3 linked regions of the Arabidopsis thaliana genome follow. The main gene of each other region encodes a partner of the protein of the gene in region 3 in a complex. Each region holds a gene or a part of one and is shown on either strand. Other genes may lie near its edges. The genes, in order: RBR1, ATE2F2 and MYB3R-5.

What was found.
Region 1: MYB3R-5 (region 3) and RBR1 share a complex: the UniProt entries of both Arabidopsis thaliana proteins name them as parts of the DREAM-like complex.
Region 2: MYB3R-5 (region 3) and ATE2F2 share a complex: the UniProt entries of both Arabidopsis thaliana proteins name them as parts of the DREAM-like complex.

The regions. Positions count from the first base shown.
Region 1 is NC_003074.8:3,912,334-3,920,900, reverse strand, and holds RBR1 (retinoblastoma-related 1), read left to right. Parts: upstream 1-1,541; 5' UTR 1,542-2,013; intron 2,014-2,453; 5' UTR 2,454-2,467; coding exon 2,468-2,551; intron 2,552-2,666; coding exon 2,667-2,771; intron 2,772-2,857; coding exon 2,858-3,000; intron 3,001-3,079; coding exon 3,080-3,176; intron 3,177-3,262; coding exon 3,263-3,309; intron 3,310-3,576; coding exon 3,577-3,769; intron 3,770-3,900; coding exon 3,901-3,967; intron 3,968-4,053; coding exon 4,054-4,233; intron 4,234-4,333; coding exon 4,334-5,389; intron 5,390-5,484; coding exon 5,485-5,647; intron 5,648-5,745; coding exon 5,746-5,818; intron 5,819-5,939; coding exon 5,940-6,116; intron 6,117-6,209; coding exon 6,210-6,329; intron 6,330-6,411; coding exon 6,412-6,544; intron 6,545-6,636; coding exon 6,637-6,749; intron 6,750-6,857; coding exon 6,858-6,973; intron 6,974-7,055; coding exon 7,056-7,230; 3' UTR 7,231-7,552; downstream 7,553-8,567. Other genes in the region: AT3G12290 (Amino acid dehydrogenase family protein), read right to left, coding at 1-126, 234-391, 565-748, 1,197-1,310; PRMT3 (protein arginine methyltransferase 3), read right to left, coding at 7,779-8,213, 8,291-8,458, 8,546-8,567. UniProt on the Arabidopsis thaliana protein: Key regulator of entry into cell division. Acts as a transcription repressor of E2F target genes, whose activity is required for progress from the G1 to the S phase of the cell cycle.
Region 2 is NC_003070.9:17,632,846-17,639,156, reverse strand, and holds ATE2F2 (winged-helix DNA-binding transcription factor family protein), read right to left. Parts: upstream 4,461-6,311; 5' UTR 4,221-4,460; coding exon 3,987-4,220; intron 3,726-3,986; coding exon 3,539-3,725; intron 3,428-3,538; coding exon 3,368-3,427; intron 3,284-3,367; coding exon 3,198-3,283; intron 2,999-3,197; coding exon 2,910-2,998; intron 2,822-2,909; coding exon 2,767-2,821; intron 2,599-2,766; coding exon 2,546-2,598; intron 2,454-2,545; coding exon 2,403-2,453; intron 2,324-2,402; coding exon 2,275-2,323; intron 2,195-2,274; coding exon 2,129-2,194; intron 2,043-2,128; coding exon 1,972-2,042; intron 1,882-1,971; coding exon 1,767-1,881; intron 1,675-1,766; coding exon 1,600-1,674; 3' UTR 1,348-1,599; downstream 1-1,347. UniProt on the Arabidopsis thaliana protein: Involved in transcriptional repression. May act by repressing E2F-regulated genes in mature differentiated cells, but is not an antagonist of E2FA.
Region 3 is NC_003076.8:481,900-488,746, forward strand, and holds MYB3R-5 (myb domain protein 3r-5), read right to left. Parts: upstream 4,575-6,847; 5' UTR 4,449-4,574; coding exon 4,407-4,448; intron 4,037-4,406; coding exon 3,885-4,036; intron 3,766-3,884; exon of another isoform or gene 3,754-3,765; coding exon of another isoform or gene 3,740-3,753; coding exon 3,688-3,739; intron 3,537-3,687; coding exon 3,479-3,536; intron 3,181-3,478; coding exon 3,086-3,180; intron 2,989-3,085; coding exon 2,885-2,988; intron 2,798-2,884; coding exon 2,669-2,797; intron 2,561-2,668; coding exon 1,546-2,560; 3' UTR 1,523-1,545; exon of another isoform or gene 1,441-1,522; 3' UTR 894-1,440; downstream 1-893. Other genes in the region: PRT6 (proteolysis 6), read left to right, coding at 35-101, 242-319, 425-493, 582-653; AT5G02330 (Cysteine/Histidine-rich C1 domain family protein), read right to left, coding at 5,373-6,847. UniProt on the Arabidopsis thaliana protein: Transcription factor that binds 5'-AACGG-3' motifs in gene promoters. Transcription repressor that regulates organ growth.

The sequences.
Region 1 (8,567 bases), on a different chromosome or scaffold from region 3:
GACAGTAGCATCAGCCTTGAGCAAAAGAAGTGAAACGGGCAAACCAACAATGTTACTCCGACCTACAACAACTGCTCGTTGCCCCTTTATCTTTACGCCGCTTCTAGCTAGGAGTTCCAAACATCCCTGCACACACAGAAAATCACCTCATAGTTGATACAGAAGAAAAACAGAACACTGAGATTTCTCGCTTGAAAGAGACTGAAGTCTATATGCAAAAAAAGGAGAAGTACCTTTGGGGTGCAAGGAAGGAAGAGGGGTTCTCTGCCTTTCATGGCTAGCTTACCAATATTCAAAGGATGGAAGCCATCGACATCTTTATCAATGCTGATTGCACCCAATATATGCTCCTCATTAATATGTTTCGGCAATGGGAGTTGAACTAATATGCCTGCAAATCAAACACCAAAGCTTATATAAGCACAGGAGAGCAAGGAATGTTTGCTTTATACCAAAACGAAAGACTTGCATAGACATTAAAGTTTCTATCTATCCTTAATAGTTTAGACTAATGATAACCGAGAAGACATACAAAATCAAGTATTATTTACCGCCACAACTAACCATGGACATCCGGATTTGAATTTAGTTCATGAACTTTGCTAATAAGATCAGCTTCAGAAACTTCCTCTGGTAGGCCCACGTCAAATGACTTAATCCCAACCTCAGCGCACGCTTTCCTCTTCGTATTCACATAGGTCTGTGAATCCTTTCGGCTCCCAACAATAACTACAGCTAGTCCTGGGACCTGCATGAAGGTAAAATCAGATTCGATTGAATCTCGTACATTCTTGAAACTATATAAAGGGGTCCAACTGAAGCAACTGAACAAACGCACTAAACCATTTATTACACATACTCTCGTTCCTTCTATTTTATTACAATGATATCAAACATTATAAGCTTAGCACACACTATCTGTATAAATAAGATAGTATGCCACTTGAAGTAATGCAGGCAGCTCAAAAATCCAGCGAAACAAAATAACAGTGATCTAACTAAAATGGAGCTTACATTTGACCCTGTTAAGCATTTTCAATAGAAGGTTGTGATCATAGCTGCTTAAATCTAGTCATTTTAAACCATAAAGCTAAAAGAGAGTAAATTTTCAATAGTGCTATCATCTTATAAAAGAACGGAGAATTATAAGGAGAGACATGTCAAGATTAGGACACTGATTCATAAGATGCGTTTACCTTGCCGTGTTTCTCAGATAGACCGCGAACTTCCTCGGCGATCTCTGATCTGATGGTATGAGCAATCGCCTTGCCGTCGATTATCTTCGCCGTGTGATCAGATGATGACGCCATGAGCCACTAGGAATTTGCCTCGTGTCGGAAATATCTAATTCTCTCTCTGGATCCACTCACACTCGAAGATGACGAAGAAGACTTAATCTGAATCCATCCGCGGATAGGACACTCATACTTCTGCAACCAAACGTTCTACAATGGCAAATATGTAATTTCCCGCGTGACCTAAACTAGAAACGGCATCGTATTAAGGGTGGGCCCAATCATAACTCACACGAGGCTTTGTCGCGGTCACGAAAACCCAGACGGCGTTAATGGCCCACTCCGTTTGTTTCGACCCCGCCGTGACGGCGAATCTTTCCCTCTCAGCGTTTCACGCAACAGTAAGTAAGTTTTGGCGGTAAAATTGGGTCACAGATGGGTACGTGTCGATTTAATAGTGGTTGAAAGCGCGCGAATATAATTGTATACGTATGTGTATGTATTCTCCGTGTTGTTTTTCCCGCGCGAGATATATCCTTTTTTAGGGTTTGCCGCATAATCAGACCCCATTCTAGAGAGAGAAGAGGGAAGTCAGGTGAAGATAGAGAGAGACACTGAGAGGAGGGAAAATTTGTAGGGTTTTCGGAGATCTCTGTGATTCCTCTGAATTTGTCGAATTTTTTGGAGGAGGCGTTAGAAGTCGGGCTTCTTAAAAATCAGATCTTCTGCTCAGGCTTTAATCGGCGACGTCTGGTATTGGGATCTGTGACACAAAAAGGTAAGATCTTTCTCTATTGCCTATCCTTTGATTTGAAATCTTATCCTCTAGGTGGTTTATCTGAAATTTTCTATTGATATTTCGCTATTCGATTGTAAGTTGGTGAGAGAATTCTCCAAAAACAAAAAAGAGAAAAACTTTGAATGAATATTTAAGATAACATCTGGGTAAAATTTTTCCGGAGTGGTGGGTTTTAGATTATGCCCCAATTTCTCTTCTTTTTTTCCCCCAAATTTTGTCTTTCTGCCATGTTTTGGGAAATTGGGAGTTTGTTTTCTCATGTCTGTTAGTGTGTTCTTCCGAATGGGTTGGGCATGGTTCCTATTGAATTTCAGTGTGATTAAATTAACAAATCTCTTTGCTTGAAAAGTCCCTTTTTCTTCGTCTTCAGTTAGCAGTTTAATTGGAAGTAAAATTAGCTTGATTTTGCATGTTTTCAGCTGCGTTGGAGACTATGGAAGAAGTTCAGCCTCCAGTGACCCCGCCCATTGAACCAAATGGGAAAAGAAGCGAAGCCTCTCTCTTGGACATATGCGAGGTTTACTCTTCTCTTTGCTGATCTAGTTGCATTTGTTTAGTTGAAGATACCATTTGAGTTCTCTCGGAAATTTTGAGGACTAGCTCTAATCCCTGTAGTTGATTTCTTATTGCAGAAAGTTCTGTCTCTTGATGGGAGCACTTGCGATGAAGCTTTGAAGTTGTTTACAGAAACCAAACGAATTTTGTCAGCAAGCATGTCTAACATTGGAAGTGGAACGGTGAAATACATTTTTCCTCTAACTTCTCTTTTATCAGTTAACTGTGGTTTCATTATGACTAAATCCTTTTTTCTTCTTCTTATTAGCGGGAAGAAGTAGAGAGGTTCTGGTTTGCGTTTATTCTCTATTCAGTGAAGAGGCTTAGTGTGAGAAAAGAAGCGGATGGTCTGTCAGTGTCTGGTGATAATGAGTTTAATCTATGTCAGATACTGAGGGCTCTGAAGCTAAAGTAAGTAGTGTTCAATTCTTCCTTCCTTGTCATTCTTAAATTCATTTGTAGTGACGATTTTCCTCTTTTCTGTTTATAGTATTGTGGATTTTTTTAAAGAGTTACCTCAGTTTGTGGTCAAGGCTGGATCTGTACTGGGTGAACTTTACGGCGCAGACTGGGAGAACAGACTTCAGGTTTTGACTAACATCTTTTAAATATACTTCTACTTCTATTATATCATTGTTAAATATGCTTCTATTAACTAATTTTTACTTACTAGGCAAAGGAGGTGCAGGCTAACTTTGTGCATCTTAGCCTTCTAAGCAAGTGAGTTTAGCTCCCTTCCTATTTTACATTTATCTTTGTTTTGTGTAAGAATAGTTATTGACATAGATTTCATATTTTGGACCTGCAACTTAGAAGCAAATTTTCTTCCTATGCAATAATCAGAATATGGGCTTGCAATATTCCTTCAATTTTAAATTAATTAAGATTTAGAGTTACAGATTTCTGGTTTTCATGTGATTATATTCTGTGAATTGTTTTAAGGACATGTTAAAGTATGATGTTTTTGGTACCTTTCCTTGGTAACAGATACTACAAACGTGGGTTCCGGGAATTCTTTTTGACATATGATGCAAACGCAGAAAAGAACTCAGCAAACTCTTCTACCTATTTGCTGGATAGTTATCGTTTTGGATGGCTACTCTTTTTGGCACTCCGAAACCATGCGTTTAGTCGATTTAAGGACCTCGTGACATGCTCAAATGGCGTAGTTTCTATATTGGTTAGTGACTACCTGTGGAGCTCTCCCTAATCTTTCATTCATTTTAGTCTTGCTGTACATTATTACTTGAAAGATGCTTCGTTTAATATAACGCAATTGAAGTATAGGCTAACTCCTTTTCATGTTATCAGGCTATTTTGATCATACATGTTCCTTGTCGGTTTAGAAATTTCAGCATCCAAGATTCTTCTCGCTTTGGTGAGTGTTTATCTTTTCTTCTATCCCGATAACCATGGCACCATAGAATGTTTATCATCTATTTTCATTTATGTGATGAATCTCAGTTAAGAAAGGTGACAAAGGTGTAGACTTGGTTGCATCACTTTGCAAGATATATGACGCCTCAGAAGATGAGTTGAGGATAGTAATTGACAAGGCAAATAATTTGGTAGAAACCATACTGAAGAAAAAGCCATCTCCAGCATCTGAGTGCCAAACTGACAAGCTAGATAATATTGACCCAGGTTGGTCTAAAATCATTTTCCTTCTTCAATTAAAGAATCATGTGAGTTCATTGAACAGTTGCCTGATTGTTCTTCGAATCTATATGGTGTTTTACTGCAGATGGCTTGACCTACTTTGAGGATTTACTGGAAGAGACGTCCATCTCAACTAGCTTAATTACACTTGAAAAGGATTACTATGATGGTAAAGGCGAACTTGATGAGAGGGTATTCATCAATGAAGAGGATAGCTTACTTGGATCTGGAAGCTTATCTGCAGGAGCTGTTAATATTACTGGTGTTAAGAGGAAAATTGATGCTTTGAGCTCACCTGCAAGGACATTTATAAGCCCACTTTCTCCTCATAAGTCGCCTGCTGCTAAGACAAATGGTATTAGCGGTGCTACCAAGTTGGCAGCAACACCAGTGAGCACAGCAATGACAACTGCCAAGTGGCTCAGGACTGTCATATCCCCGCTTCTGCCAAAACCTTCTCCTGGGTTGGAACATTTCCTTAAATCATGTGATAGGGATATAACAAATGACGTCACACGAAGAGCACACATAATATTGGAAGCTATTTTCCCAAATAGTTCCCTTGGTGCCCAATGTGGAGGTGGAAGTTTGCAAGCTGTTGACCTGATGGATGACATATGGGCAGAGCAGCGCAGATTAGAAGCTTGTAAGTTATACTACAGAGTTCTTGAGGCAATGTGTAAAGCAGAAGCTCAGATTTTGCATGCAAATAATCTGAACTCTTTATTGACAAATGAGAGGTTCCATAGATGCATGCTTGCTTGCTCAGCTGAATTGGTACTGGCTACCCACAAAACAATTACAATGTTGTTCCCAGCTGTTCTGGAGAGGACTGGGATCACAGCCTTTGATCTCAGCAAGGTAATTGAGAGTTTCATACGACATGAAGATTCTCTGCCTAGAGAGTTGAGACGACATCTGAATTCACTGGAGGAACGGCTTCTAGAGAGTATGGTATGGGAGAAAGGCTCTTCAATGTACAATTCTCTGATTGTTGCCAGGCCATCGCTTGCATTGGAGATAAATCAGCTCGGTTTACTAGCTGAACCAATGCCATCTCTGGATGCAATCGCAGCACTTATTAATTTCTCTGACGGAGCAAATCATGCATCATCTGTACAAAAGCATGAAACTTGTCCAGGTAGTTTTATTTGTTTCTGAATTAAAGCAGTTTTCCAACCTGTTGTTAATGGTATGATTTTCTTACCAAAAATTGTCAAATTTGCTGCCATATAGGACAAAATGGGGGGATTAGATCGCCCAAAAGATTATGTACTGATTACCGCAGCATTCTAGTTGAACGCAATTCCTTTACATCACCAGTAAAGGATCGTCTGTTGGCCTTAGGCAACGTTAAATCCAAGATGCTGCCACCTCCGTTGCAGTCTGCATTTGCCAGGTACATTTTGAGTAACTATGAGTAGAAATGGAGAGTTAGTTTACCTATCTAGTTGTCCCTGTACTTGTTAAGTAACCTCTTCGGATTTATGTCTACAGCCCAACACGGCCCAACCCAGGAGGTGGAGGAGAAACTTGTGCAGAAACTGGAATCAATATTTTCTTCACAAAGGTAGGTCTGTGAGATCTTTGGATCTACTACTAATCGTTTGGTTAGATGATGTACTACAAAACACGGTATTGATTCTTCATTTTCGGCTGGGAATTGTGTTAAATGTGGTGGCTCTTCCCAGATTAATAAATTGGCTGCTGTAAGAATCAATGGAATGGTGGAAAGACTACAACTTTCACAGCAAATAAGGGAGAGTGTGTATTGTTTCTTCCAACATGTACTTGCTCAGCGGACTTCTCTTTTATTCAGTCGACACATTGACCAGATCATTCTCTGTTGCTTCTACGGAGTGGCCAAGGTGAGTAGTGTGATTCAAAGGGTTTAACTATATGTCATCTGGTTTACAATGGCTTCTCTTACACTTACACTTTTTCCATGAATCACCTTGTAGATATCCCAAATGAGCCTGACTTTCAGGGAAATCATATACAACTACCGGAAGCAACCACAGTGTAAACCATTAGTTTTCCGCAGCGTTTATGTGGATGCGTTACAATGTCGCCGTCAAGGGGTATATATACACTCTTAACCTTATGCTGAAAAGTTTCTTTACTCGGTGGAGAAGACTAAATTTGTGACAATGACTTGAACAGAGAATAGGGCCAGATCATGTTGACATCATCACATTCTACAATGAAATATTTATTCCTGCCGTAAAGCCGCTGCTGGTGGAGCTAGGTCCTGTAAGAAACGACCGGGCTGTGGAAGCCAATAATAAGCCTGAAGGTAGTTAAGAAAGGCCAGATACTTGTTAGATGTAAGCTTTGTCTATCAATTTAGTCCCTAAGTTAAATGATCGTCTTATTTTGGATTCACAGGTCAATGTCCCGGATCGCCAAAGGTGTCTGTGTTTCCAAGTGTTCCAGACATGTCCCCTAAAAAAGTATCTGCAGTGCACAATGTTTATGTTTCTCCTCTTCGGGGATCAAAGGTAAAGAAGATCATAGTGCTTAACTCTTTATCATGATATGACTAAGTCTTGAGGAGGAGGTAGGTGACAAGATTGTTTGGTTACCTTCCATGTGTTGTGTGTTTGCAGATGGATGCTCTTATTTCACACAGTACAAAGAGTTACTATGCTTGTGTTGGAGAGAGTACACATGCTTACCAGAGCCCTTCAAAGGACCTATCTGCCATCAACAACCGCTTGAACAAGTAAGTAGAAAAATCACGTCTCTCATCAGCTTCTTCCATAAAACCAATCACTGACCCAATCCAATTTCATCTGGTGTCACAGCAGCAGCAGCAACCGCAAGAGGACGCTAAACTTTGACGCAGAAGCAGGGATGGTCAGCGATTCCATGGTAGCAAATAGCCTTAACCTCCAAAACCAAAATCAAAACCAAAATGGAAGCGATGCATCGTCCTCAGGTGGTGCCGCACCCCTTAAAACCGAGCCAACAGATTCATAGATATCTCTCTCTACTTGCTACACCAACTTCTCTTCAGTTATAGCATCTGTAAATCCTTATGTTGCAGAGTTTGCTTTTATGTTTAGCTTTCTAGTTTATAGTGATCACCTCAGGCTATGAGCGGATGGATCCCTTTATTGTTTCTTTTTTCTTTTTTTATCTTAGTTAAGTCAGTCTTAATAAGCATTAATAAATGTCTTTTTCTTGTTCACTCTTTCTAACTGTGTTCGGTGTCCCATCTACTAAATTTATTTTCCACTTTAAAAAAAAACAATTTGTGACATTTACTTAACTTGGAACATATACAGTACAGTTAAGCAATTAACTATAACCAACAAATTGTCTGAACAATTGTCTGTCTTACCTTTTTAGCTCTCTATAAATTTACGCCGCAAAACAACACTTTATGTCGATTTCAGAATAACTTACTACTCCAGCATATTTCTCAAAACTTTCTCAATAGGTTAAATTTAAAACAACCTTGCAACTTATGAAAAAATCCTCAGCAAATTTGCCAGAAAAGAGTGTTACAATGGCTACAATCACATTCATAGATTAAATATCTGAACCGGCCAGTGACGCTTCTGACCCTTTGAGCTCAGCCCAGTAGCCTCTAACGAGATGTCTATGCTGCGATGCTCATGTGCTCGTGCAACACTCACACGCAGATGAATGCTTGAGGCGGGACACTCTTCGGTTCCGATGGCTTCTCTTCTGTCATTACCAGACAGAACCGAGGCCGGTGCCACTGAGATTGGTTCTTGAAAAGTTAAGATTGTCTGAGCCCAGTGTGTTGGGGGAGTGTAGGGTGATGTGGATAGTACGGTTGGGTTTTCCTTACAGAACCTACTGGTGAAACCTGTGTCAAACCACAACACAACACCATGGCACAACCTAGTTTTTGCTTCTGACTCAGTGGGCTCCAGCGTTGCCGTTGCTGTGAAATCTACTTCATCCGGTTTCATGGTAGCCAGGTCAAATGTCTAGAAACAAAGAAATTCAAGGAAATTAATTTCAAAGTTTTTCCTGGCGAAACCAAATAATGTGTGATCTTTCAAACCTGAAGAAGGGTAGGCTGTGTCACTAAATCACGCTCCGCTATAACGTCAACAATGGGAAGTCGAGTAGTGTCGTCATGTATCTCCTTCCCAATTGAAGACATGTCAAAGCCATAGACATCTTCCCAGAAAGGAAGACTTGTTGCACCTTTTCCAAATCCCGCAACAAACTGATCCAAGGAGAAAACAAGGGATAAAACTCATCAAGATGATTTCATGAAAAAGACAACATTTGAAGGGCAAAAGATAAGCTTTACCATAGTGGCCGTGTCAGGGAGG
Region 2 (6,311 bases), on a different chromosome or scaffold from region 3:
AGAGAGACAAAGGAAATTTTAGGTCACCTATAATAGTAGAAGACACTATTGAGAAAAGGGATTCAGACTTAAAGTTATTATTCGTAGAATTTAAGAGAGAATTGTTGTCTAGCTCTTTATCTTTTACTTTCTGGTTTTCCGTTCTGTACGTTCGGTTCTCTGTTCTGTATTTTCAGGTTTCTCATTCTGTACGTTCGGTTCTCCGTTTTGTCCTTTTGGTTCTCCATTATATATTTCCTGATTTTCCGTTATGTACTTTCGGTTCTCCGTTCTGCATTTTTGGTTTTTCGTTCTGTAATTTTATTGTTCTCCTTCATCGTTAATAAAAAATCTACTCCGTTCTCCTCAAACTCCTTAGTTACTTATTGTTAAAACCTCGGTACAAACATTACCAAGTTGTCCTCTGTCCAATTCCAACCTAGAAGAAACGTCAACATTGCATTTTTAAAGTTTGAATATGAGCCAAAAACAAAAACAAAAAAGGAGCAAAACTGACTTGGCGAGGTAGAAAATTTTTGTTCACTACCTCTTCTTCTATGATGTATCAACGAATCTGCTCTATACCTTCTCTTATTTGACAGGCTATATTTGAGTTTTGCTTCTATTCCAATAATGCTTAGCCATGATTTTCAACAATAAAATTACCATAAAAGTTTGTATATAAAAAAAAATCAAGAATCTCGGTCAAAACGATATTGTTGTAGTGAACTGAGCCATTTGTTTGGGAATCGTTTGAGATGGTAGTCAGCGGCAAAACGACGTTGTTCGATGTTCTTGATTTTTGAGTCGCTTTCAATCTTCTCGTGTGTGGGTGAGTTTATATAGCAGAATTATATCCAACAATGTATATTAGGAAAATTATCCTCTGAAAGGCATTCCTTTTTTTTTAGGGTACGTTTTACTGTTTTAGGCAGTTACTTCTAGGCAAGAGTTATGCCATTTAACGAAAAGTATTGCTTGGGATCCAAACAAGCACCATATTTAGGGATCCACCAAGATATCAATGTCCAATGTGGTCATGATTAACTCATGAATGACATCAAACATGATATGATCTAACTCATGAATGACATCAAGCTTTGTAAAGTTGATACTTCTTTTCCACAAGATATTTTTCTCTACTAGCGTTCAAGACTTCGAGCTTTGAAACTAAATGTAACAAGATGAGAGATTAACTAGTTTTCAATTTGGAACCATTCGTTTTTTGACATGATTCTGACAGAAGTAACGTTTGATATTGTCCAAATCAGGTGGTTCGTAAATGATGCTTTGTTTCTGTTTGAACATGCAAATTGTAACCTATGGACCCAAAGTGTCAAAAAGATTAATTTCAAAGTTCATTATAAACACATGTTACAAAAACAGATGTATGCATTGACATGCAAAAGGCCATTAAGTATAATTATATATCTAATTAGAGTACAAGTTTTTTCACATAATTGCCACATCCCTTGAATGACCTTAAAATATTGCATCTTTTATTTTTATAAGGAAAAAAATCTATTAGGATTTCAGGCTCAAAAGGGGTAGTAAAATGTAACAGAAAATTCATCCTCATCCTAGTAATTGGGAATTTGAGGTTTCAAACAACTTTGTTTCTCAGCTGTTGAAGTTGCTCCATAAATCTGTGAGGCTCACCTCTGCATCTGACTCGAACCAGTAATCTGCTTTTAACTGGCAATACACAACCAAAAATTCAACTTAATCGCAACATACGAAATGCGAGACTGATCCCAAAACCCATATCAGTGGATCTAAATACTTACATCAGTATCTGAAGTTACTATTTTCAAGGAAGGAGTGTCTACTCCAACTGGAGCTTTTTGATCAGACTCATTACCCAACTTGTCGCTTGTTTCCGCACTGTCTCCTTTGTATTTGCTGCGATCATGTTTGTTCCCAGTTATTAACACTGACTGACAAATATATAGATAAGACCAGACACAGAGAGTGGAATGTGTAACTAAGTACCTTAAAAGATAGACATCAATCGGCCCCATTCTACTCCTAATCACCATCCGGTACTGTTGCGGAAAACTCATCTATCGTGAACAAAAACAGATGCTTTACTTTGTGACACATTATATTACAACTGTACAGCAAATATGAAAGCATTAAAAACGCTCACCTCATCAGGATCTGGAACTTCGATGTAACTAGCTGTAGGAGCTTTAATTGCTAGTAATGTCTGGTTCTGTATAAGGACTACCAGTTTAGTATGTTAAATAACTGAGGAAAACATAAGATGATTTTCAAGAACTAGTTGGGGAGGACCTGAAACCGTGGGAGACTCGTTATATCTTCCTCCGTCATAAACATGTACCTGTTTATTTCCATCATTGATCTTAGCAACACTCTCGTGTATATACAAAAAGATGAAACTCAAATAAACTGACGAATACCTTCTACAGTAGTCATCTTCCTCCAAGGATCTGAGAGCTTCTTGTCGTTCCCTGGAGATACATAACATGATGATCTTCAAACCATGTGGGAAAGGAACAATGGATAAGTCTCCAAACATAATATAAGAACACAAGCAACCAACCTTATAAGATCATCCAACCTGCTTTCCTCAGATTGCATACTCTCTACTTCTGACTGAAAATACGTAGATATGTAACCGGTCAGTAATGGGGAATTTGAAAATAACTGTGTGAAATAAACTATAAGACAGAAAAATAATGAAATCATGAATTTGACAGATTATTTGCATAGCAGTAAGTTCTACGACAAAGAAAACACGTGAAAATGCTTGTCACAATGAACCTTAAGCCTAGAAATTTGATCTCCCAGGTCCTTTTGTCCAAGATTGTCAGCACCCCTGCATCAATAGCGCATACACAAAGTCAGACGAACTCAAGCTATATACGCTGCAATGTATCCAAGAAAGAAAAAATTTGTGTACTTACTTCCAGCGGATATGATTCTTTGTAGTTTTCTCTATCAATCCAATTCCTTCAAGGACATTTGTAATATCATATATCCTTCTTTTTTGTACCTGTTAAGAGGGATCGCAGGAACACGTAAGCACATAAGAGGAGATCCTAACAAGCTGATGAAGATAACTAGGGAGATATCAAACAGTTAAGGCAAGGGTTATAAAGGTGAGTGATCTTTTTAGTCCACGTTCTTAATTAGATCTTCTACGAGTTGAGACATACATTTTTAACTTAAATATTAAGATACATTTAGCATACCTCCAAAACAACTGCACAATAGTTAAGGTCAAGTGTTCCATCCTCAGCTTCCTGGATCAACTTCACGAATTTTTTTGTCAACAACCCTATCAAACAAAAGAGACACCGATACAATTACAGTTGTTATCTCCATACAAACATGAACCTTAGTAAACAGAACTATTAGTTACCTAAAGAACTGTCATAACGGCAGTTAATACTAGCTCCATTTAAGCCACCATTTTGCACTTCTGCACAAAAAAACTCATTCACAACAATGCTGAATACAAACAGATTCTTATTTTCAATACATATCACATTCTAAGAGCTAGCCAAAGAGATTGATCAGAAAAAGCAGATACCGCCATTCGCCATTCGTTTCCCAGCCTTTAACAGTTTAGTACCACCCTTTGACTTGTTGTATACACGTTTAACATTTTGAGGAGACGACTCTTGTTTCACTATTACTTTAGCTATATCTATGCTTTCTCCTCCAGACATGTTGGCAATAGATCCAAGCTGAATTCGATGATTCTTTCTACTCTTCTGCTGCAAATTAAGAAAAGATCAACTCAATAGCATTACAATCACCAAAACGAATCTAAATTCGCAAATTGAGATTAGAGAATTGAAAGCTAGAGATCCAATTTTGGATTAAGTTTCCCTTAATGAAACCAAACTTCATTCAATTTTTGTTTTCGCGAAATTTGGGAATCAGAATTAAACCTAGCTATCGCAAAATCAAGTTCGGAAATGGAATCAAAATCAAAGAAGGAATCTACGAGGACTTGAGTAAACGAAGAGACTCACAACTTTCTGAGTGATTTGAGAGTAAGAATCGTCCCAGTGAGGTGAAATTAGAGGAGACAGTTGTGAATTCGGAAGCGATTGAGAGACTGAGAAAGGTCGATTCGTTGAAGAAGGAGTTAGAGAAGAGTAACGAGGATCAGAGGAAGAGATAGATTGAAGTAATTCGAAGCGAAAAGGAGATCGGTGATGGTAAGAGAGAGTCGGATCTTCGCCTGAGTTTGATGTCGCGGCCATGTAACGGCGGTGTATCTCCGGTGGTAGAGAAGATGGGATTTAGAGTGATTTTTTGAAGCGATTTTGGAGAATCGTGATTTAGGTTTTTGTGGGGGAAGATGAAGAAGGAGAAGAGGGAAGATGGAGAAAAAGATGGAGAGAGAAGAGAGGAAACAGCGGGAAGAAGAGGAAGGGTAAAAGTGTCTTTTTGTTGTATTAAAAAGATTAATATAAGAAAGAAATATTGGAATTATGTTAAAAGAGCGGTGGGCGAAAGAAGTTGGAGAGAGTTTCGAATTCTGCCTAAGCCCCGCCTAACTTCTTCCGCTTATTATTTTACTCTTTTGACTATTTGTTGGGCTTGGTCTTGGGCTTGGTCTTGGGCTTGAATTGGGCTTAATAATGTTACGACGTTTACATATCTTCTAGAGCTTCATACTTTGTAGCTTTATGTTAATGATCGACATTCATGGTTCACGAATCTATAAATACGGAGTCTCGGCATTGCTAGATTGAGTTTACAGGGGAGTCCTAATCTCCGAGGTCCATCTGCACCAATAAACTCTATGAACGGCCCAAATTTGGTCCAGTTATCATACCAAAAAGTAGTTTAGAGTTCATGGTCTTTGCCAAAAGGTAGAAATTAGAATGAATTTCTAAACCCATGATTCATTTTGTTTCTCTGGTATCATTTTTCTAGCTTTTTTTCTTTAATATTTTCATAAAAACAATTGAAGAATGAAGAGTGCTTCTGCATAGTTGAGTACTTGAGTAAGTGATATCTAATTAATATCAAATTATGTGAAAATTATACCATCTTTTATGAAGTCGTACTATATATGTATATATGTTTTTTTGTCTATCTTAATATATGTTTATGGGTCTGATTGGTAACCAAAAGTTGTTAACTCTACTACAGGTATTAAGCTGTACAATAAACTAAGAGTAAAACTTTGTAACGCTTAGTACCGTTTTGTAAAGTGGTTACCAATCAAAACCTATATTAGGTTATAAGGAAGCGATGGGTGCATTGACGACAAACACACAAACTTGGTGTATAGCGCTACACAAGGGACTGTTTTTTTTTTCATTGTATTATTACCAATTGCATCATGTAACAAAAATAGGAATTCAAAATACTGAATTAATTAATCATGATTTTGAATAAACAAAACATATTAAAGGAATGTAAATATAATTGAGTTATTTCAAAGAGTTTTCGTATCGCATAAGTTTGATACCTTAACTTGTTTTCGTAAAACTGGACAAATATGACGAGAAAAAATCCCTTCATGATATCATGATGGCTTAAATCAACGTAATTTCCATTAGTTTAGATCTGAGAGACTGAAACATTGGTGTACCAAACAATGTAAAACACACATTTTCGTCCCTATGGCATGTGACAACTTTTTAGCCAAAAAAAAGAAAGAGTATTTTATTTAGAAAAATATTTGTGAAGACATATTATCCACATTTTTAAAATTTATTGTAGCCATGGATCAGAAAAATTATATTATATTTTAGTTTAACTGTGACAAACAAACAAAACAAGATTATCCATATAAATGTAAGTTCGTCTAGATATTCATACAGAAAAAGTTTGTCTAGTTGCATTTTTGTTGTCCTAAATTTCAAGTGCACTAACGCGAAATCTACTTCACTTGTCATGGTGCAGTAAGAAAAAAACAGTAAATAAAAAATGAAAAAAATATGGAAACACTAAAAAAGAATTTACAATAGTCGATAGCATTTTTATTTGTTTACTTTGGTTCCTTTTTTCTACTTTTATACAAAAGAAAAGGTGAGGAGGAATTTATAGCCTCTAAAAGTGATCTTACAAGTTATCTAACGTTGTTTTTTTGGTAAGAAGTTATTTTTATTATAACTCCTACCATTTAGGTAATTAACTTCCTTAGGCTTAAGAGTTTTCTACAACTATTAGATTTTAACCCGTAGTACACCATGAAGATTTTTTTTTTTAAAATTAGTATATATAAAAGTTTGAAAATTATATCTATCTATAAAATATTTTTATTTTATATTTTATAATTCTTATTAAGTAACGTTCTTCCAAACCCGTCTCGCCAAACCTGTCCTATAAAAAAAAAA
Region 3 (6,847 bases):
AACCAAACAATGACGTTCTAACATACTTTTACAGAGAAAGTGGTTGTCCTAATCATGCAATTACCTGTGGTGCTGGTACTGGTGTATTTCTTCTGATACGGGTATCACCTCTCGTCTTCTCTCTCTCTCTCTCTCTCTTGTGGATATAACTCTCCTTTACTTTATATATTGCTCGTGTATGTATGGAGTTTGCATCATTTGTGGGCTTTCTAATTGATTACTGCTCTACATTTTTCGATAGCGGACCACAATTTTGCTACAAAGGTTTGCAAGACAATCACCTTGGCCATCTCCTTACCTGGATACGTTTGGAGAAGAGGTAAACCTAGAAAGATTTTTTTCTTTCTTTTCCTTTTAACTTTGATGGGTACGATCTTGTTGATTCGGATGTTTCCATGCTGTTGGTCATTGAATATTGTTTCAGGATATCGATATGATCAGAGGAAAACGACTATACCTGAATGAAGAACGTTATGCTGCTTTAACTTACTTGGTAAATGTTTGTCTCAACAATCAAAAGAAGAAACTTTTGTTTGTATGGTAAAATATATAATTGTTTTGCTTGGTGAAATCCTTTTCAGGTTGGTTCTCATGGACTTGATCGCAGTTCAAAAGTTCTCGGCCAAACCACAATTGGAGCCGTCTTACATTAAACGATCTGCGTGCTATTTCTCAGACATTGATCTCTATGAGATGGTATTCATATGTTGCTTTGAAATCATCAGTTAAGATTCTAAAGATTTGAGAGCTTTTCTGATGATTTTTTTTTATTTGATTTCTGTCACTTTGGTTGATTTCTTTATTTGTGGATATATGCGATCATGTTTGTAAATAGAGTATTATTTCTTGGCAGTTGCATAATGTTTATTTTTAACAATACTATCATTGGTTAGTCTCTGTGCGCAGATTTGCATTGTTTCTTTTATTTTATTCAGGCTTACTACCTGAAAATGGTCGATAAACATCCCAATGATTAAAAAAAAAGTGTTGATTTTGAGAAGGTTTATTTGTAAAATTTTTGATATATGTACAGATTGATCCAGAGAAAGGATAGTATCAAAACGAATGTGTTGTGTTCTGATATCACTTCGATGTCCGAAAATGGAAGAATTTTCAGTGTCTTCGTCAACTATGTAACATCATATACTCAAAAGCCCTAAAAATAAAAAAGAATTAACCAAAATTCTAATCCTTTAAAACTAGTTTCTGCACAATTATCATTTTAAACGTAAACAGGACACCATGTATGTGAACGATGAAATTAAACTACTTGTGAGTGTACCTACCTACCTATTTCATTTTAGTTCGGGTGTTAGACCAAAGCCGTAGATTCATAGCTCAAGGCTGTGAGGAAGAGAATGAGAATTGTTTTTCTTCACGGTTCTCTTCCCAGCAAAGCTTCAATTCTTCTGGAACCATACTGGTTTCTTCACACGATCTCTGTGTCAACAAGGATGGAATTATTTTAGATTTGTTACTCAGATTAGTGACATTAAATAAAAGATTTGAAATTTTCACTCACAGTTTTCTAAGGGAAGAAGGGTTCTACACAGGCTTGTCTTCCTCAGACGTTTTAATTTCATTATCAGGCTGCTTCTCTTTTGCAGATGTAAACTCAATCTCATTATCTGGCTGCTTCTCCTTTTCAGATGTAAACTCAAGCTGTCTTGATTTGATTACAGCTGTTCTTTTAGCTCTTAACCGATATGGTGGAGACAAATTGAAAGCATTTCCATTTAACCCGAGTTCTTCATCATCACTGCAATTATCAGTTGTCTCCAGCAACAAACTTTTTCTCATATCTTTACTTTCTTCTTTTCGATCAACTTCCTTAACTACACCATTAACAACAACAACAGCATCTGTTTTCGCTGCCAAAACAACCTTTCGCCTTTTCCTAAAAATAGAAGGTGTGTTTGGAAAAGTCCTAGCAGCTTCTCTCAAGAAAGATTCAGGACTTCTCGTTGCAGTTAAACCACTGTCTTTATTACAGGGTGTAGTCATTAAGCTGACTGGTGATGCAGCACCGGGACTGCAACCACATTCATATCCGTACATATGTTGCAGATCCGCTTCTGATGGAAAGTAATAGTCAAGTGGAGACTTATAGTATAAATTCCCATGCTTTGGAGTTCCAAACCCGTTTTCTACTTTCCTCTGGATTGATCTCTCAAAATAAGCTTTTGAGTTGATTCTGACTTCCTCTGAAATTGGTTCCAGATTAGGCAACTGAGGCTTGTACTCAACAGGAGAGCAAGCATACTCATTGACACCGATTCTTCGTGAAGCAGCTACTTCTTCAAGCAGAGCGGAAGAAGAGTCAAAATGGTCTCTTCCAACTTCATTTGAATCTGTATTTCCTGAAGAGGTTTGGGTAAGCGAATCAGAATCCTTGAAAGGTTTAGTTGCACTAGACTGCTTGGAATCTCTGTCTCCATCAGCAATATCTTTCAGAACGATGAATTTGCTTGCTGGCGGTGGCAAGTTACCAGTTGCTAAGTAGAACTCTAATTTTTTCTTCAGTGAACTATTCCAATGGTTCTTTATGGCGTTATCAGTCCTGCAAAAAGTACAGGTAGACATCAGAAGCAAAAACTGTATGAGATGTTCAAAAATGTCCATTAACTTTATTTTTCACAAGGCCTTTTTCAACTACAAGTAAGTATACCTTCCTGGTAAAACCTTAGCAATTTCCGCCCATTTGTTTCCGTACATTCGATGAGAATTCATGAGAGCTGATTCTTCTTCTACGGTCCAAGCATCCTTTCTAATACCAGGATTTAAATGGTTGTGCCACCTGTAATCGTAAACTCGTTGAGGCTTCCAAACTCAACGGAGGTACAGGCTCTATTCTTCAGATAGTCAATATTCTAATCTTTGTTACCTTTCTCGACATTGTTTCCCAATACGACCTGGTAAGGACTTGGCGATGACAGACCATTTGGCAGGTCCATATTTTTTTACAAGTTCAACGATTTTATCATCCTCCTACAATTCACGAAAGAAAGAGAATTTTAGAGCTACCAAATTTTTACGTAAAATGAAAACCAAAAAAAGTTTCAGAACATGAAAATGATAAGAGAACCTCTTGAGTCCAAGGTCCTTTAACAAGCTCTGGATTAAGAACTTTCTGCCACCTGTGCAAGCATTGGACTTCTGTTCTCTCTGGGAAAAATTCCGCTGTAAGATGAAATACAAAAAAATCAAACAAACAGAACATTGACCGAAACCAGCTACTTTAACATTTAAGAGACAAAAAAGAAATCATGGTTCTCTTGCAAAGTGCACAGCAGAGATCATGTTTACTGAATGAGAAAAATTCACAAAATTCTCAGCAGATTTAAGATACGAGTTCAGTTTTAAAAATGTATAAATTATACATTCAAGTATACATCAAGACAAGAGTGTGATTAGAAGACCTATAATCTCATTCTAATGTATTGCAATACTACTTTTACATTCAAGAAAAGAAATTTACCTATTTTCTTCCACCTCTTCCCCTTATACTTTTCAACTGCTCGTCTAAGTGTCTCATCCTGAATAGTGATAAAAACCAATTACAGACCACAATAAGGCTAGTCTCGTCTTTCATTCAAGTAAACACTAATCCTTATACATATAAGATACATAGTCGAATGAGGTTGCTCCACACACCAACAAAATTATGAAACAAAAGCAACCACTAACCTCCTCTGGAGTCCAACCACCTTTTGCTCGTCTCATAGGTCCACTAGTCCTCCTGCAGATCAACATTAAAACATTGCAGAAACCCAAAATGAGTTCGGTGTAAGTCATCAAAGCACAGTCTTTCCAATCAATCAATTTCATAATAAGTTGTATAAACACACAGATAGAAGATGAAATGTAAAAGATAGTAAAAGTACCGAGGAAATGAAGATACTGTGGCAGGAGTTGCGATTTCAGGTGACTTGAGGAAGAAACAGCCACTACCTTCGGATGCAGAAGAGCAAGAAGCAGCTAATGGTTGCTTATTCTCCATACATTGAATCTCAATTTTCATTTCACTTCTTTCCTCCTAAAAAACCCATATAAATCACCAAATCCAGAATTTTCGTTAAAAACATGGGATTGAGCACAAAATGAACAAGAACGTATCTTTATCAAACAAATAATCAAAAATCACAAAACCCTAAAAACTCAACGGCCGCAAAATAGAAGCCAGATCTCACAAAAAAACAAGTCGATTTCTTTCAAGCACAAGATGGATGTTTAGGGTTTATACAATTCTAATCATTAGAAACCAATTCAGACCCTTTTCCAAGACCTGTTAAAACGTGTTCCGATTCAGACCTAAAACCCCATGAACTCACACCAAAGTAGACGAAGATAACAATCTGATCACAAAAAATGAAAAGCCCTAATCAGATTTCAGGGAAAAATCTGACCTTTTCCGGTGAACAAACCGGTGGATTCGAACTTGAGCTCATCGTGATCGCCAGATAAGCGAATTCGCGAGGAAGAAGAAGAAGGGAACGTTAAAAAACAAACCAAAACTTATATTCGAAAAAAACTTTGCCCGTTGAACGAGAGAGAAGAGAGAAAGGAGAAGGAGACTAATTGGGATTAAAACAAATATTGTAACGAATACTTCTTCCGCCGACGTAACTGCTAACTGCCGTTAACCTGGAACCGGCCGGTTTATTCCAAACCGACTCAAAAGAATTGGAAGAAGCCGGTTAATTGAATTGAGAAAATGAATGTTTTTTTACGAAACTTATTAATGTGACTGGGCTAATTAATTAATTATAATATTCTTTCGGATAAAAACGAAAACAACGAGTTTAATTCGTGGTTGGATAAAACCGGTTATCTAAAATCAAACTATAACCGAAAATGGTGACAAGAAACCACAGGGGGACTTAACGGACGTTAAAAGTAGAAGAAAGGTTGACGTTGGAAATAAAAGTTTCAACCTCAAACGGCACTCTTTAGCTGATGCGTTGACCATTGTACACGTCGGCAAATCAGAGGTCCTCAATGATTATGGACCGTCGGATCATTAAGATAACTCATTCTGGTTTTTTTTTTTACTGTAGTTTCTTAAGCGAGAACAGTCCGAATTGGCCCATAATTTAAAGCCCAAAGGCCGAGATATAATTAATCAGTCGAGGTTTTTGGGTAAGAAGAAGATATAGAAAATTACAATTCGTTTTAGTAAAAGAAAAGATTACACAAAAACGTAAACAACCAGACAACAAGAAGATTGAGCAAATGGGGAACTAGAAGAAGTTAAGAATCCAAAAGTATTACAATACGTTTTAATAGAAGAAACATATTACAAAACGTAGACAAGCAAATGGGGAGTGAAATATAGCGAATAAGGGACGACGAAGCACCGGCGATGATGACATCTAATCCATCGAACAACTGTAAGAGCAAAATGTCATGTCATGCCAATTGAAAATTACTTTGTGTGGACAACGATCTTCTTTATGAAGTTGGCAGAATGGTCGAGTCATGGTATTGTTGGGAAGAATATAAATGTTTGACCTATAAGCCATTACAGTATGACCAGGATTCAACATATACATCTCTTTTCCAAGCAAACAATCAACATGGAGAGTGGTGCAGCAGTCATCACACGCATAGAACCCACCTTCTCTTGAGTATTCTAATTTCTTTTCGCATACCTCACACCAGTCTAACTGATCACTTCCCTCTTCCCCTTCCCGAAATGTGAGGAAATGTTTGTCAAGCTTATACTTTGCCTTGTATGGTAAAGTAGCACAACTGAAACATATAATATAATTGCATTCGATGCAATTTAGTTTTCGACCATACTTTTTTCGGCAAATTTGACAAATTGCCTCCCTTTCTTCTTTTCGGTCTAAAGCTTGGAATAAGGGATGCTCATGGCCTTGATAATCAAATGGTTCAGAAACAGAGGCACACCGTATGTCTATGCTGTATTGATCCTCCTCATAGATGAAGCCACAACTTTCACGATCACAAGCGGAACACCTGAAGTAACCTTTAAAGTATTCATTCTGTATATCAGAGACAACTTTTAGCGTAAGTGGGTGACTGTGTAAGGCATGATCTTTCTTGCGAGAAGCATTTGCACATGCTTCGTGGAGGATGAAGTTGCATTGATCCATACACGAGTAATAATTACCCTCATAGATTGGAAGGATGCACGCTTGACAAATAATGTTTTCGTTGTAAACTCCACTGGTCTTGAGTTTCAGATGATGGCCATGAGAAAAATGGAGTATTATTCCATCAGCTATCGTCTCAAATGGCTCGAGAATTATTTCAGGTTCTTCAGGTACTCCCTCGAGATCCTTTCCATCCCACAAGTCTTCCCGTAACGCACATCTTGTATGAACAAAATAGTGGCTACACTTGTTGCAAGTGTATGCACCACAATTGTTGTCAACCTTTTTACGACATACTCCACAAGACCATTTTCCAGATGGAAGAGAAGAGGTAAAAGAGATACGGTGTTGGTGACGACATATTTTAATGACATACGGGAAATAGATACAATCTCGATGGGCTACAAAGATACATCGAAGACACACATAGGTGGGGAAAGCTTCTTTAATGAGGCTACAAACATCGCAAAGTAAGGAAGCTTGTTTGGGAAAAAAGGTGAGAAGGTGGGGATGCCTTTTTGGGTGGTCTATAAAAATGGATATTGGCTTCATCGCACAATCGGGATGCAAACTCAATTTGTAGGTGGGACAATAATAAAAAATAAGATTGGAAGGGTGTTTACAGCACATGCAACTCATGAGCTGCTCGTGACGAGTGTAAAGTTTGAGTGAAAGAAAGGGATAGGAAGGGTGTTTGATCTCAAGGGGAGACTCCACGCATTCTTTGT